Linked DNA regions of Stegostoma tigrinum. The protein of the gene in region 1 interacts with the protein of each later gene in a pairwise test. Links are inferred from orthologs where the notes say so. Each region holds a gene or a part of one and is shown on either strand. Other genes may lie near its edges.

Region 1 (7,753 bases):
GAACCAGTTGAGTTATTATGACAACTGTTGATAGTTGCCATGGTCACCAACACTGAGATAATTTTAATCTGCCAACTTTATTCACAGAATTTAAGTTCTACCAACAGTGTCTCAGAAGAATTAGCTTTGGATTACTAGTCCAGTGACACTATCACTATCCAAATATATCTCATTCTCCTCATTTACTCTACGTTGAAATAAATTCCACAATCACAGCATTGTCTGGATAAATTGGTTTCTCTTGAATTTTCTAGCTGATTTATTGGTTATATCTTATAGCCATTTGTTTCAAACGCCTCCACAAGTGGAAATACCTTTGTTACATGGATGTTTTTTTAAAAATCTTCTTTGAGTCCTTTGTCCACCTCAGCAACATGACTTCCACCCTGGGTAAGGCAAGGAACCAGATCCTGAACCTCTCCCAGCTGAATCCTGTTTATTAGCGTCAAACTAATCACAGTGGCCATCCAGCCAACTGGTGATTATCTAATTCAATTCTGAAAGCCAAGTCTGAATCTGCCAGCATTGGCACGCTCAGGCAATGTATTCCAAAATCATAAGTCAATTCTGGCCATGCTTTTATAGGAGGAAAGATGTTGTTAAACTTGCAGGTGCAGAAAATATTTACATAAATGTTGCCAGAACTGGAGAGTTTGAGTTATAGGTAAAGGCTGAATAGACTGGGGTTTCTTTCCCTGCAATGTCAGAGGCTGAGCAGTGACCTTATAGAGGTTTATAAAATCATCGATAGGGTAAATAGCCAAGATCTGTTTCCTAGGACGGGGTGTCCAAAACTAGGCTTAATGTGAGAGGGGACTGCATCGTAATGTAGGGAATGAGCTGTCAGAGGAAACGGTAGAGGTGGGTATAAAACAACACTTAAAAGGCTTCTGGATGGGTGTATGAATAGGAAGGGTTTAAGAGAGATGGGGTCAAATGCTGGCAAATGGGACTAGATCAGATTAGGATGTCTGTTCAGCGTGGACGAGTTGGACTAAAATATGTTTCCATGCTGTATGATTCTGACTGTGACTCTAGATCACTCTCTGCAAGGTAGATCTTTCCCATGCACTGCTGCTTCATTTAATCAATTATTTTAAATTGGTGCCCTCTCATTCTCAATCCTTCCATCAATGGAATCAAAAGTGGTGAAGAGATTTTGTAACGAATCAAATATTTCTGTTGCATTTAATTATGAAACTTGACTCTTGCAACCTGTGAATCCTCAACATCAGGCCTTGTATAGGTTTCTTAACTGCAGAGTGACAGAGCCCACCAGAAAGCAGAGCTTGTTTAAACCAACTGCCAATGTGTGAAATGCAGTACTCCTGAGGTATTCATAAGACAAAAGATATATATTTGACAAATACATTCATTTTAATATTGTTGAAAACAGACAAGTGGCCAGCACAGAACTACATGATACAAAACCAGCTTAATAACCATCCCCAATAAATGTAAGGTTTTACTTCTTATATCATCCTCAAGAATTTCTTTTTACCATCTTCCCAGTTACCTCTGTGCCTTTTTCTGAACAGCTAACTGATAACAAGAGCTACAGATTTGCTAATCACATAGATTGCCAGGTATCAACTCCATTCTGCAATCCCATCCCCACACCTGTCATAGTTGCAAAAGGTCAGTCCTATCCTTTAATAGCTGGCAGTGGTTAGTTCCAGGAATTATTCAACAAGACTTTGGGTAGGCGAAAAGAGGGAAAAATGCCACTTCCTTGCAATTTCTCTTGCAACGGAGAAGCTATCTGTCTCAAAACATGAATTAAGCTTCAACAGGCACACCACTGAAGGACATGGATTATTTTGGTAGGGAGAATTGAAGGTTGGGGAGGATGGAGGGGTGCCTTTGATCTCCAAACTTGAACTGTCTGCCTGGTTTGCACGTTGCTCTGCTGCCCTCTGTAGCTCAGAGCCAGCACCCAATTTGAAGCTTCCAAACGGCACTGGGAAGCTTGGGCTGGTTTCATAAATTTTTAAGACACATTGAATAATTGAGCACATTAAAAAAGAAAACCATCATCATCAGAAGTTGCAATGTAATGACAGCAAACAAAACTCAAAATCTTCTCTCACACATTATCAAGATTTTCAATCTTTAAGCTACAAAATAGATAATCGTTCTTCATTTATGGATTAGATTTTGAATCCTTAGCATTGAGCTTTGCTTCTGCTGATCTATACATGTAGACACATTCACTCAAAGACAAACACAGTAACACATTCAGAGACGTACAGGCACAGACAACATATTTTCAAAAACAGGTACACATAGATGCACATACACTCACAGATACACAAAATACAGGTATGCACAGAGGCGCATGTGCTCAGGCATACAGGTATGCACAGAGGCGCATGTGCTCAGATACATGCTCAGGCACACAGACACACACTTATCAGAAGATATATACCGAAGCTGACACAGCTACTGTATAAATTTAAAGACATATTATCACAGACATACAGATAAGCAAATATTTAGGCACACTTCCTGACACACACACACACACACACACACACACACACACACACACACACACACACACACAAGTAAGCACACATTCCCAGACACATACCGATATTTGAATACCAAACACTGCTCATTGTTGACTCTCACAAATATATCTAAGCACGCAAAGAGTTCACAGCTGTTAGCAATACCGGAGCCAGGACGCAGCTCACTTAAACCTGCAGCAACACCTGTTAGTCACAACTGAGGATTTGTGTAAAAGGACGATTTATGTAGCAGCACCCTAGACACACACAGGAGTATCACTCCATCACTACACGCACACGTTTCTAGGTCACTCGGAGGGAGGCTGCTGGTTTTTTTTAGGGGAAGGAGTAGTAATTTTGCAGATCAAAATACAAAGATGTGGATCGTTAAAACATCCGTCAGTGGAACAAGTAACGTGCACAACACGTTCAATTGTCGGTTGCACAACTTACCTTCAGTCAGCAGACGCGCAGCATGAACAAAAGATGGGTCCAGAGTATCTTTCTCTGCCATCAGCTCTGGCAAATATTTCTCTCTCTGCATTTTGCTCTCGTTTTAAACAAAAAACCCAAAATATATCGAAACAGAATTACAATATGTAATTCAAATAATATTTATTACTTTGCTTAAATATAAAGTCCAGAGCTAGTACTGTAGCAGTCAGTGAGGCTTATCTGTCAGTTTACCCGAAAGAGTACACTCACTCGGCCGCACTGACAGCGTTTACCGACTCCAGCAGCGTCCCTATACAGCGCCCGCCCCCACAGCCCACCTATTGGACAGAGCTCCGGACACCCGGAAGAGGCGCCGGATGGTTATTGGCTAACACCGACTATCGATCAACGTGAGTGACAGCTTGCCCATCTTTTGTCCCGTTCGCATCTCCACAATTCCTGCCTCTTTGCCTACGCCTATTTTTATACACGCAGAAACATGTAATTATGATTTTCCATTCCACAACAACTAAGAGAGCCCTTGTGCAAAGCCCTGCCACTGCTTAGTCCCCATGCTCTGCCGCATGGCTGCCGTCAAAACAACTGCCAAAGTTGTTTTTCTTTGCATGTGAGAAAGGATCTTGCTGGAATGGGTCAAAAGTTGGTGCATAACTGACATGCCTGAAAAATGCTGATCAACGCATTAAGCTGGAAGTGACATATCTATCTCTGCCTCTCAGAAGCTGACTGATTATTAACGTAACAAGGCTGAACTCCACATTCTACACACTGCATATACATGGATACTAACATCAACGTTGGCTTTACCTACCAAAACACAAACGTATATATACTTACGACAAATTTACGTCTATCTTGGATTACAACATTCCACTAAATATGGAATAGAATAGTGTAGGTTAGATGGGCTTGAGATCCATATGACAGGTCGACACAACATCGAGGGTCGAAGGGCTTGTACTGTGCTGTAATGTTCTATGTTCTAAAGCTTTATCTTATGAGTTGAGTGCATGCCCTAATGCATTGTAACTCTGTCAACAGTAGAAAAAAAATGAATATTTTAATATAACTCGCCCAATCCCATTTGCACAAATTGATTGGGGAAAGGTGAGCAGGCACTTTTTGATGAGTTTAAGAGAAAGGCGTAGACATAATGCTGCCTTCAAGCAAGCTATCCTCTTCCTCGATGGAGATATGGCCTATTTTGGGAAAAGGTGGGGGAACATGTATCTACTTCAAAAGAAGTTCCAAATGGGAAATAAATGTTCATTTTCTAGCAAGTCCTAATGACAAAGTTCATGCTACAGCTTAGGAAACAGCAGTGGCCTTGCTCCAAGTCAAATTGTCAAAGAAAGATTTCTGCATCATCCTTTTTGTCTAGACTATCGTATTTTCAGTTGGTGTTGAAAATGCGTGAATAGCAGTTCCTGCACTATCAAAGCATAGGCGCAAAGTACGGAGTGATGAGATTTATTCTAAATACGAGTTGTTTATGATCGGATATAGTAAGAACTGCTGATGCTGGAGTCAGAGATAACAGTGTGGAGCTGGAGGAACACAGCAGGTCAGACAGAATCAGTGGAGCAAGGAAGCTGACGTTTCGGGTTTTCCGTTGCTGTCTGGCCTGCTGAGTTCCTCCAGTTCCACACTGTTGTCTTGTTTATGATTGGAAGTACGCTACTGGAAATGGTGGCGCAAGCAGACTCAATAGGAACTTTCTAAAGATAATTGAATGAGTGGGTGCTTTGAAAAACTGCAAGAGGTGGAGATAACTGAATAACTTTTTCAGAGAATCAGCAGAGGCACGATGGGCTAAATGATCTGTTTTGTGATGACCATTTGATTGAAGGTAACTCAGGGCAGACACAAAAGATCAATACTACGGCAGAATGGGAGTTACAGTTCCATCTTGACCTGAATTCAGGTGCTGGGAGTATTACTTTTTCCTTATTTTTTCATCATGTGTGGGCATTGCTGGCAGGGCCTGTATTTGTTGACGATTGCACTTTAACTGAGTGGCTCAATAATTAAGGGCTGAAGGCATTGCTGTGAATTTGGAGTCAGATGTCAACCAGACCTGGTAAGAATTGTAGATTCCCTTCCCTAAAAAGACATTACTGAACGAAATGTTATTGTAACAATTGATGATACGGTACAATGGCAACAAGTCAAATTACAACAGGTCTGGCCACAAATTTGTGTTAAATAGAGATTAAAGTTAGCCGAAAAAGGCCCTATATAACCCCATAAAAACCGAAAGTATTGTGGATGCTGTAAATCAGAAACAGAAATAGACATTGCTGGTGAGCTCAGCAGGTTTGGCAGCATGTGTGAAGAGAACTCAGAGTTAACGTTTCAAGTCTGGTGACCCTTCTGAGAACTGTGGGGCAAGGGTCCACCGGACCTGAAACGTTACCTCTAAATTCTCATCACAGATACAGCCAGACCTGCTGAGCTTTTCCAGCAATCTCTACCTTTATTCATTTAAAATCCCAATCGCCCCCAAATATACCGTATGTAAGAAAGAAAAGAAACGGTAAGTGAAAAATGCCTTTATTTTTCAAGTTGTTCATACCTTACAATGGCCTGTCCTTGTGCTGTAAGAGACATTGAAAAACGATGGGAGTTAGCTGTGGAAATCTGAGTAATATCTTTCTACTTAGCAGGCTGTCTTCAGAGAGGATCAATGAAGTCAAACGTGTTTTTTGTGTTTCAGTGAAGTAGTGAAAAATCCTGGAGCATCTGTATAACACCTGTGATAGAAACTGGCTTGTGCATACTTTTAACATCATTTATTTCAGTGTGAGTTTCAATTTTAAGTTACATGTAGGTTTTCCACGCGCCTGAAGTAAATAATTAACTTGTGGTATTTCTTTAAACATGGCAATTTATTTAAAAAGTATTTGTGAAGGCAACTGCAGCAGTCCATGGGGGCTGTGTCTATTTTACAGATTTTCTGACCTAGCAAAATAAACAATCATATCTCAAGGATTTTGTTGGAAATTTCTACATTGGGAGTATTGTTTTAAAAATACCCATAGTAGTGGGAGAAGATTTGTTCCCGTTTAACTTTTTTTCTGACATTTCTGTGAAGTTCTTGCATAGAGATGCATGCATAGTACTCCTGAAAAGGGAGAATATCATGAACTAGATTACCTCAGAATAAGGAGTTAGTGATTGTCTCAGACCAGTAGTGTTGCACTAAAACCCCAGAGGACTTGAATCTGAGTTTGTTTAACTCAAGTGCATGATAGGTCCATGAACAAGCTAACAGTCCTTTCATTCTCAAAGGTAAAGTCAGAGTTGTCTTAGATCTAGTGAGGTGTTAGAGAGAGTGATTCTGGTATGAGTACTGTACAGGGAATCATGTTAGTTGCTGTACAAGGGATTTTTTTAAACTCGTAAGGGAACATTTAGACTTAAACTTTTATTGTGTTTGAAACTCTTTTAATTTGTTTTAAGTAAATCAGTTAGTTTGAACTATATTATCTTAAATTCTGTTGCTTAATAAATTTGTTTTTATGTTAAAATAAAATCTGCAACTTTGTGTGTTCTAGTCTTAATGAGAGACCATCTAGTTAAAATTAAATCAAAACAAAACAATGATCAATCAAGCCAGATTTCAGCTTTATTTCAGTAATAAGATCAGCTGATACCTTAAAACATCCTTGTGATTTCAGCTTGGAAAACAGGTGGATGAATTGGTCAACAGGGTGATAGTTTGCTGTTATATTTTGTGATTTCCTGGCCTCTAACATACTGGAGGTCATCTAATTAGCCTCATATTGTGTGGGTAGCAGCTTGACATTTGCAAAGCAATGTGGCTTTTCCATCTTTCCAATCACAAGAAGCAGTAGATTTTCAGTGCCACTCACATTGGTGAAGACCGTAGTATGTTTAGTTTCCTTCTAGTAAATGCTTCCTCTTTGAGCAGTATAGTGCAATCTGATAAAACACAGTAAAACAGTCTAGTTTCAGCCATGTTAAAAATGTCTTGTAGTGCATCCTTGTTCAGGACAAGGGTGAGATCACTTTGTGACCATTGCTGCAGATTTGTCTGTGATTTTGTGCTCCAGCGTGGCCTCACTCCATCACAGTGAGTTGGCGTGGTGATCTGGAACTTGGATTATCACAGACATTTTTCCATTAGATTTCCTATTTAGTCAGTGGGAACGGATGACAAATTGACTGTGACCAGAGTTTCAGGTGATATGAATTTGACTCATGACGATTTCACTGCAGTCTTCTGACCAGTATCACTGAGCCCGGTTTTATATTCCAACATGTTTATTGATGGAACATAAATTTTACTAGCTAAAATGCTGATGGTGGGATTTGATCTCTTGTACCCTGATCTCGTTTGGGTTAGCTAGTCCAGTGATATTACCACCACACTACCAATCCCCCAAAGTCTAACTGCGCAAAAGCCTAACTCATTTGAAATTTTCAATCCTTATAGCACCCTCAAGGTTAGTAAGTCATGCTAAATCTCTAACTAGTTTTGTTCACCAAAACTTACCAGTGCTCTTTTTATGGTGGTGCCTTGTGGATCTAAATCACAATAGTCGAGTGTTTCTTGATCTGGTGAAATTGTCAGTGAGGCCTGATTGAGGTTGAACTAAAAGGGAGAAAAATACAAGCCTGATGATTTAATTATGAATGAAGGAAGACCTTTGGTTAACATGTTTTTCATCAATATAGAAGTGGAGATGCTTTCCCTGCCTGGTTGACGTTTTGAGAACGCATTATCTGAACTCAGCAGTGGGAAACCACTCTAGACCTGT
Region 2 (7,894 bases), on another chromosome or scaffold:
TCATTTTGCTCCATACAGTCTCTCCCACCAATTGCAAAGTCATTCTGCCTCCCTGCTGGTTCTCTGCTAGGATGTGTCCTCGTGCTGTAGGCATTGCCAACCAAAAATGTAATACATGGGTTTCCTCTTCCATAACATAGAACAGAATCCAAAAAAAAATCCCAACAGTGCGGGAGCAGGCCATTCAGCCCATCAAATCCACAATGCTCATTGCACCTAGTCTAAACATCCCTGGATACTATGGGCAACTTAGTATGGCCAATCCACTTTACTTGCACATCTTCAGACTGTGGGAGGAAATCAGAGCTCCCAGAAGAAATCCACGCGCACACAAGGAGAATGTGCAAACTCCACGCAGGCAGTGGCCTGAGGCTTGAATTCAACCCGGGTCCCTGAGACTGTGACACAGCAGTGCTAACCCCTCCCACCTTTTTTTTATATTTCTCTCTCCATCCCCTCCTCCTGCCGCTCATTCCCACAAAATGGTGGATTCATGCCCAAACTGATTGGCAGCTGCTCTTTGAGATTACTCCAAATGCATGGTTGCCTATAAATTGAGGCCTATGTTTCGGTTAAAATAGCAGACAGAATTACCTTTCACTGCTTGCAGAAGAGTGCAGGCTTAAATTCTGAACAGTTCTGAAGAAGAGTCACATTAAATATGAGGTATTAGTTCTGTTTCCCTGTCCACAGATGCTGCAAGACCTGCTGAGTTTTTCCACCACTTTCTGTTTTTGATATTTGAAAATTTTCAGACTGCTCAATTGTAAATTTCTGAACAAGGAAGATAATTTTTCAAGTATTACAAGTCCATAGTTGTTGCCAATAGATATCTTTATTCAAGACATGTTCCCATAAGTGTGATTCTTTGTGACTTTTGTTTAATTTATCATTATATTCTGCTTCTGATTGAACTGAGAATAAAAATGTAATTGAAAACCTCTTTGCAGTTATAGTCTGTCGCAGACACTTTGTGATTTGTTTTTCATTTAATATCATAACATTTGCTGTGGGACCAAAAATGATTGGGTTCAATCTCTCTAGGTGCTAAATGACACCTGTAATAGCACATCAGTTAGTAAAATAAGGTGGGTACAGAAAAGTGAAATTCTGGACAATGACAACTGAAGTCCAATTTTCCAGCCAAGTTCCTAATTGAGAGATAAGAAATTTGTTTGAACATTGAAATTTAGCATATATTATGGCCTAACTGGATATGTTGACATCTCATTATTACCTTATTTCATGTCACGTATGTCGTTTGCAATTTCCCCAGCCTGTGGAGAGAAACCAGACAATGACAATCCCCAACATGAGAGTCAGAGCAGGCACCTGACTAGGCTCTAACTTATCACTTGCCCTTCCAGACCTCCATCTTGACCAGCAGTCCCCAACACCTCAAGGTGCACTAAATGGGCAGTAAATACCTGCTTCCTTTATCTATAGAGGTTGGCATCAAATGCAAAGCAACTGGTCCACACCTCTGTTAACTTGTTTCCATTTGCAATCTGTTCATTTAGATGAGAACCAATCAGTTTCACTTTTAAATAACTCCTCAGTTCCTGATTGCCTGCAATTGTAAGGACACAAGTCACAAAGACAGAGTTTGCAATAGACAATGAATTCCTTTCCACAAAAAAATTTGGAGGCGTTCTGGTAAATCCTTGATTTTAAAAATTGTTCTTTCTCCTTGCATCCCACATTTTTAAGGACACAGAAACAAAAGACACAGTTCTCACACTTCTGATCATCATTTCAAGTCATGTGAAAATAAAACTGATTCACTAATGTTCTTCTAGAAATATCTGCCTCTTCTTCTACAAGACCTCAGTACGCAGTGTGTGCCTTGCAAGTGACATACTGTTGAATAATTGCTATTAAATTCATTAATTGGTCTGGCTTACATGTAACTCTAGATCCATGACTGTCCTCTGAAGAGACAGAACTCGAACAGTAATTTAGCATTAGCCTAGGCACAGAATGAAACAATAAAGCCACACCCAGTCAAACTTGTAAAGCTTTTCTAGCTAACATCTGGGACATTGTCCAAAACTAGCAATAGCTTTCCCACAGGCTAGTCAAGCCTGACATAGGTTCACATCTTTTAGCCAACCAGCATCCCTTCATATGTCATTTTCCATGAAGTTCTGTGGCATTTGATCATTACGAACTTGAGCAACTGCCTATTGCTCCCCCTCATCCTTTCTCCCACCCACAGTATGCCCCAGTGCCACACAATATTACTATTTTATAGAAACAGATGTAGACCACATTACTCCAGAAGCAAACATACAAAATGCTGGATGAACTCAGTAGGTGTGGCAGCATCTGTGGAGAGAGAAACAAAGTTAATGCTTCAAGTCCAGTATGACTTCTTCAGAATACTGCTCGTCAAGCCTAATTCCTCATTCAATACAATCAATTTTTACCTTAACTTCACTATTCCCGTCCACCTGCCAACTCATTTGATTTACTGAGAGATGAAGTCTCTGAATATATTCAAGGTTGGAAAAGATAAATGTTGAAGCATTCACATCCATTTGAGGTGAAAGAATTCCAAAGATTCACAATCCTTTGAATGAAGAAATCTCTCACCTCATTTCGAAATGATCAAGTCCCTATTCAGAGGTGTCAGCCACAGCAACTTTCATGAGAAGGATGCACCAAAATAAGACATGGAACACGACCGCTGCTAAGGCACAGGCCATTTTTTTTTAAAAGAAAGGAATGATATTGGAATAGGCTTGTTGAGTTGGCACTTTCAGGTAAAAAAAACTAAAAAGAAAGTTTTACATTTGTGTAGCACTTTTCACCACCACTGGATGCCTCAAAATGCTTTACAGCTAATGAAGTACTTTCAGTGTAGTCACTATAGAAATGCAATTTACTTCACAGCAAGATCCCTCAAACAGCAATGTGATAATGACTGGATAATCTGGAGATATCAGAGGTAACTTCCTGCCATGAGATCTTTTACATCTACCAAAGCAGGCAGATGGCACAGAAACAAAGTTGCTGTAAAAGCTCAGAGATAGAAGGAACTGCAGATGCTGGAGAATCCGAGATAACAGGGTGTAGAGCTGGATGAACACAGCAGGCCAGGCAGCATCTTAGGATCAGGAAAGCTGACATTTCAGGCCTAGGCCCTTCCTCAGAAATGCTTGTTTCAGGAGTCGCAGGGAGAAACGCTTCTGAAGGGTCTCAATGTTCTGAATGTAGATATTGTTGCAGTTGGGGCCAAATTGGGAAGGCTTGAATGTGGGCTGTAGCCTTGCTGGAAAAGCTCAGCAGGTCTGGTAGCTTCTGTGGAAGAGAAAACAGAGTTATCATTTCAGGCCAGGTGACCCTTCGTCAGAACTCAGCTTGCTTTAATACCTTATCATAAAGACAGCCCCTCTGATGGTGCAGCACACCCTCGGTACTTTGCTGGAGTACTGAGCAGTAGCAGCAGAACCATCCCTATGGTCAGGTGAATCAGGACAACTGCCCAGGACACTACACTTTGGGGGAGCCTGCACCAGTATCATAGGTAGCTGGAGTGATAGGTGAGAGTGATACATTTCCAGTTTGGTTAGAAAGCAGTAAGGCTTCTTCAATGCAAAGATGCGTCAAGGAATTCCAGCCTATAATTCCAAGAGGATTGCAATATAATTATCGAAATCTGGAGCAGTATGGAACGCCTTTTATGGTAAACACAAAATTCTTGGCATTGATCATGATTGGTCAGTTTTGTGTTTGTTAAAAAAAGAGCATAAGAAATAAAAGGGGGTTAAACAATTTACACTGGTGAATGGTAAACACAATGAATTGGAACTTGCAGACTCAAAAACTGGTGTTTAGAGAAGCGTGGGGTATGGGGTGGGCCGCACTCTGTGATCTGCCTCATCCCGTACAAATCTTTCTCCACCCCACCCCAACCGCACACTGCCACCGGGGGTGGGGCCCCACCGCCAACCAAGTAGAAGCCTTGACTTTTTTTCTAATGAACCTGTTTGGGCATGGTATGACACACATCCATGCTATCACATCCAGAGGGGAGAGTTGACCCAGACCTTCCAGGCCAGACACAGGGATGCTACTACTACACCACAAAACCTTGATCATTAATGCTTACGTTCTGGAGTGGGGCTCAACCCTTTAACCTCGTGACTTAAAGGTGAGGTTGTTACCAAGAGAACCACAGCTAAGTTGAAGCTGTAGTGCAGCGTGAGGAGGAGTTCTGGTACAAACAGTGATGTGGGACTAGCTGCCACTTGTTGGGTGCTGGGATGATGTGGTGTTGGGGCCAGAGTGTTGAGGTGTTGTTCCTCTGCAGTGCCGATGGATTAACCTAAGGATGCTAACAATTATTACAGTGGCTGCCGCTTTTCAAATTTCCCCAACATAGACAACTCGCCTTCTTCATTCCATCTTGTCTTCACGCTCGTTGGATTTAGGCTCCAACTGGTAAAATATTCTTGGCATTTTCGTTCCGCACAAAGTATGGACACAGCCCAAGGCGTGGTTTAAATAGCATTGCCTTCTCTTAGAACACTCTCTGATTACATCAATGTAAGTAACGAGGAAGTGAGATGGAAGCTTGCATTTTCGAAAATGTAACAAGCAGGACCTCACCATCGTCCCTGGAGGTGGAGAGGGCAGCAGGGAGAGAATCTGAGTAGTGTTCACCTCCATGGCCGAAACCTTACAAAGGATCTGTCCCTGTTTAAATTCCATGTGGAATGTAATCTTCGCTTCTAGACAAAGCCCTGAGGGTGACGGAGAGAAGAATTTACCACAGCGTCGGAGTTCTCTGGTATCTACGCCGAAGGAGAGCGGGGGCAGCGTTTACACGGCGCTGTATGACTTTAGCGCCAGGACAACTGAGGAACTGTCTTTCCAAGCCGGGGATGAGTTTGAAATCCTTAAGGAGGACGACCGTTCATCGGGAGCTTGGTTGTTTGCAAAGAAACGAACTCATTCCAAGGGCCATAGCTGCACGGGATATATTCCTTTTAATTATGTTGCTAAGAAAGAAAGTGTAGCCACTGAGCCGTAAGTGCTTTCAAATAGTTTTCACAGCATTTATGTCTGTAAATCGATTTGCGAATTGTACTTCAAGACTGACAAGTGATGCTGGTGGCTGTTCGATTCAGAATTTTCTAATTGCTGAATTCGTTTGAGAGAGGCAGTTTATTTGGGGTTTATGACCTTAAAGGTGTCAGTGAGATGGGCAGCTTGGCGAATAGTGAGGCAGAAAGCCGGAGATTGCAGCTGTCAGTGGAGGGGTAAGGACTCCGATAAGCGCTATGTGGAATTTCATTGGGAGGAATAAGGTAATGCACTTGGAAAGAAAACAAAACCATGGTAAGGAGTTGCACAATGACTTGAGACTAAAGTGTAGAGGTACAGCGGGACCACTATGTCCACAGATCACTGCATAAAGTAGGATAAGATGTAGTGTGGTGGAATTCTCCCCACTTACCTGGAGCACTGCAGCTCCAACAACACGTTAGGAGTTTGACATCACAAAGCAGCTCGATTTAATCTGTATCTCATCCACCAAGTTAATCATTCGTTATCTCCATCACTGACACACACTAGCAGCAATGTATACCATATACAGGATGCATTGCAACAAATTACCTCGGCTCCTTTGACAGTAGTTGCTAAACCTGTACCTTCCAACAGACACATGGAAGTCAGACACCTGCAAGTTCCCACCAAGCCGCACAACATTCTACCTAGGGACTATATCGTCATTCTTTCACTGTCTCTGGATCAAATTCCTCTTTCCTTAACCTGCACAAGATAGAATGCAACAATTTAAGAAGGTCGCTCACTACAACTGGCTTCAAGGCATTTAGAGATGATAGGCAAGTGCTGGCATTTTCAGCAACATTCACACTTGTGAATAAAGAATTGAAAATGTTGTTGAAATAAATGCAAGGTACTTTCATTTACTTGATGAGGCCTAGAGTATAAGATAAGAGAGGTTATGCGAGGTCTGTATAAAACATTAGTTATGAGGACGTTACTGGCGAGACAGTATTTATTGTCCACCCCTAATTAGCCAGAGTGCAATTCAGAGTCAATCACATTACTGTGGATCTGGAGTCACGTGTAGGCCAGAACAGGTAAGGATGGCACTTTCCTTCCCTAAAGGACATTAGTGTACCAGATGGATGTGTTCCACCAACAATTGATTCATGGTCCTCAACAGATTCCTAATTCCAGATATTTTATTGAATTCAAATTCCACCATCTGCCATGGCAGGATTTGAACCCAGGTCCCCAGAATTTTAACTGGGTTGCTGGATTAATAGTCCAGCAATAATACCACTGGGCCATTGCCTCCCCTTTTGGCAGACTAATGGTAGAATTCTGGTCACAGCCTTTCAGTATAGAGAGTACAAAGAAGAATTACAATTTTTGCTGTGAAGAAAGACTAGAGTTGCATTCTTTGGAAGAAAAGAGCAGACATGTTTAATAATATTATTAAATATAAATAATCATACTTAACTGACATGCTTAATATGAGTTATTTGAGAGTACCTATTGCTCTTAGCGGAAAGGTCAGCAACTATGGAGACTGATTTAAAATAATTGATAGGATTAGAAGGGATGTACTGAACCTATTGGGCAATAGATTAAGTGCTGAAAGTGGGAATTGACTGGATAATTCCCCTCATGACACAGGTATGATGGGCTGGATGGCTTTTTGAGGAACATAAGAAATAGGAGTAGGCCATTGGGTCTGTTGGTTCCTTTTTAGTGCTATATATATCTGTGATTTTGAAATTTCATCACTTCATGCAGTTTTTTGCCCATAAACAAATAAAAGAGCTGATGATATTACAAGCAAATGATGAATGTGTTCATGTGCAGTTTGCCCTTTGTTTTGATGAATGTGTTGGATCCATTTTAAAAATGACATTAGAAAATAAATAGAATTGGAAGGAGGCAGAAAATAAGCAGAGCTCAATCATGCCCACACCAGAATTCCAAATATTGCATTTGAAATTTGGCCTTAACATCAATACTTGGAAGTTCAACATGGTACTGGCAGTTTACATACACTCCTGATTAGAAGATGAGAAGGATGAGGAGGAAGAAGGGAGGAGGTGGCCTAGACAGGTTTCTTTTTGGCCAGCCTAGGGTCAGCTTATTCACAAACAAAACCCCAAATATCCTTTTATCAACAGTACCTGCTGTTACCCTCTCTCTGTTACTGACCGTCCCAAAGTTTGCTTGATCACAATATGAAAATAATAGCCAGCACAATATAAACATTCTAAACAAAATTTACAAATCAAAAGTATTCTAAATTGCACACAAAAACCAAAAGTTGTACACTGTGTTGTGCCTGTCTGTTACATGCTTTTATCTGTCCAAGTTGCCTTTTGCAGAGCTATCCCAATGGTTGCATTGTGCCGAGTGAAAGCCCACTAATTTTCAGTGAAGGCCTTGGAGGGCAGCTTTAAGCAGCTTTGAGCTCCAAAGACCAAGCTTCAGATTTCAGACAACAGCAAGGACATGGCAGGTGTAGCAGATGTGGGAAGATCTGTCCTTTTTCCCAGGACAGCCCATCGGAAATCTGTATAATCGGCTGAAATCCAGCTTGCTGAACCGTTGTGTGACCCCGAATGTACTTTTGAGCATTTGTATTTGCTCATTGACAATGGCTGTCATTGTAGCTTTTGTGCTTACTTTTTGAGCTTGCCTGAGAGCAGTCTGTACTTGCATGAACGTGAGCTGATCTTGCATAACAAGAGTCTGAACTTAACATGAGCGCCTAGAATTTCTGCATCTGCTGTGTGTGTTATAGTGGAAGCTGAAGCATTGTTCATCGGATGTTGCATCATCTTTGGGTACACAAATATTCTAATAGACTTGGTCGCTATCGAACTATCGA

The links. The genes of interacting proteins can lie anywhere in the genome.
Region 2: the proteins of KH domain-containing, RNA-binding, signal transduction-associated protein 2-like (region 1) and protein-tyrosine kinase 6-like interact in binary tests that used the Homo sapiens proteins (3 or more experiments, as listed by UniProt). The two-hybrid records come from large-scale screens. The link is inferred for Stegostoma tigrinum from reciprocal best matches to the Homo sapiens genes KHDRBS2 and PTK6.

The regions. Positions count from the first base shown.
Region 1 is NC_081357.1:91,080,789-91,088,541, reverse strand, and holds the start of KH domain-containing, RNA-binding, signal transduction-associated protein 2-like, read right to left. Parts: upstream 3,240-7,753; 5' UTR 3,058-3,239; coding exon 2,967-3,057; intron 1-2,966. UniProt on the Homo sapiens protein: RNA-binding protein that plays a role in the regulation of alternative splicing and influences mRNA splice site selection and exon inclusion. Binds both poly(A) and poly(U) homopolymers. Phosphorylation by PTK6 inhibits its RNA-binding ability.
Region 2 is NC_081372.1:28,831,155-28,839,048, forward strand, and holds the start of protein-tyrosine kinase 6-like, read left to right. Parts: upstream 1-4,422; 5' UTR 4,423-4,672; coding exon 4,673-5,034; intron 5,035-7,894. UniProt on the Homo sapiens protein: Non-receptor tyrosine-protein kinase implicated in the regulation of a variety of signaling pathways that control the differentiation and maintenance of normal epithelia, as well as tumor growth.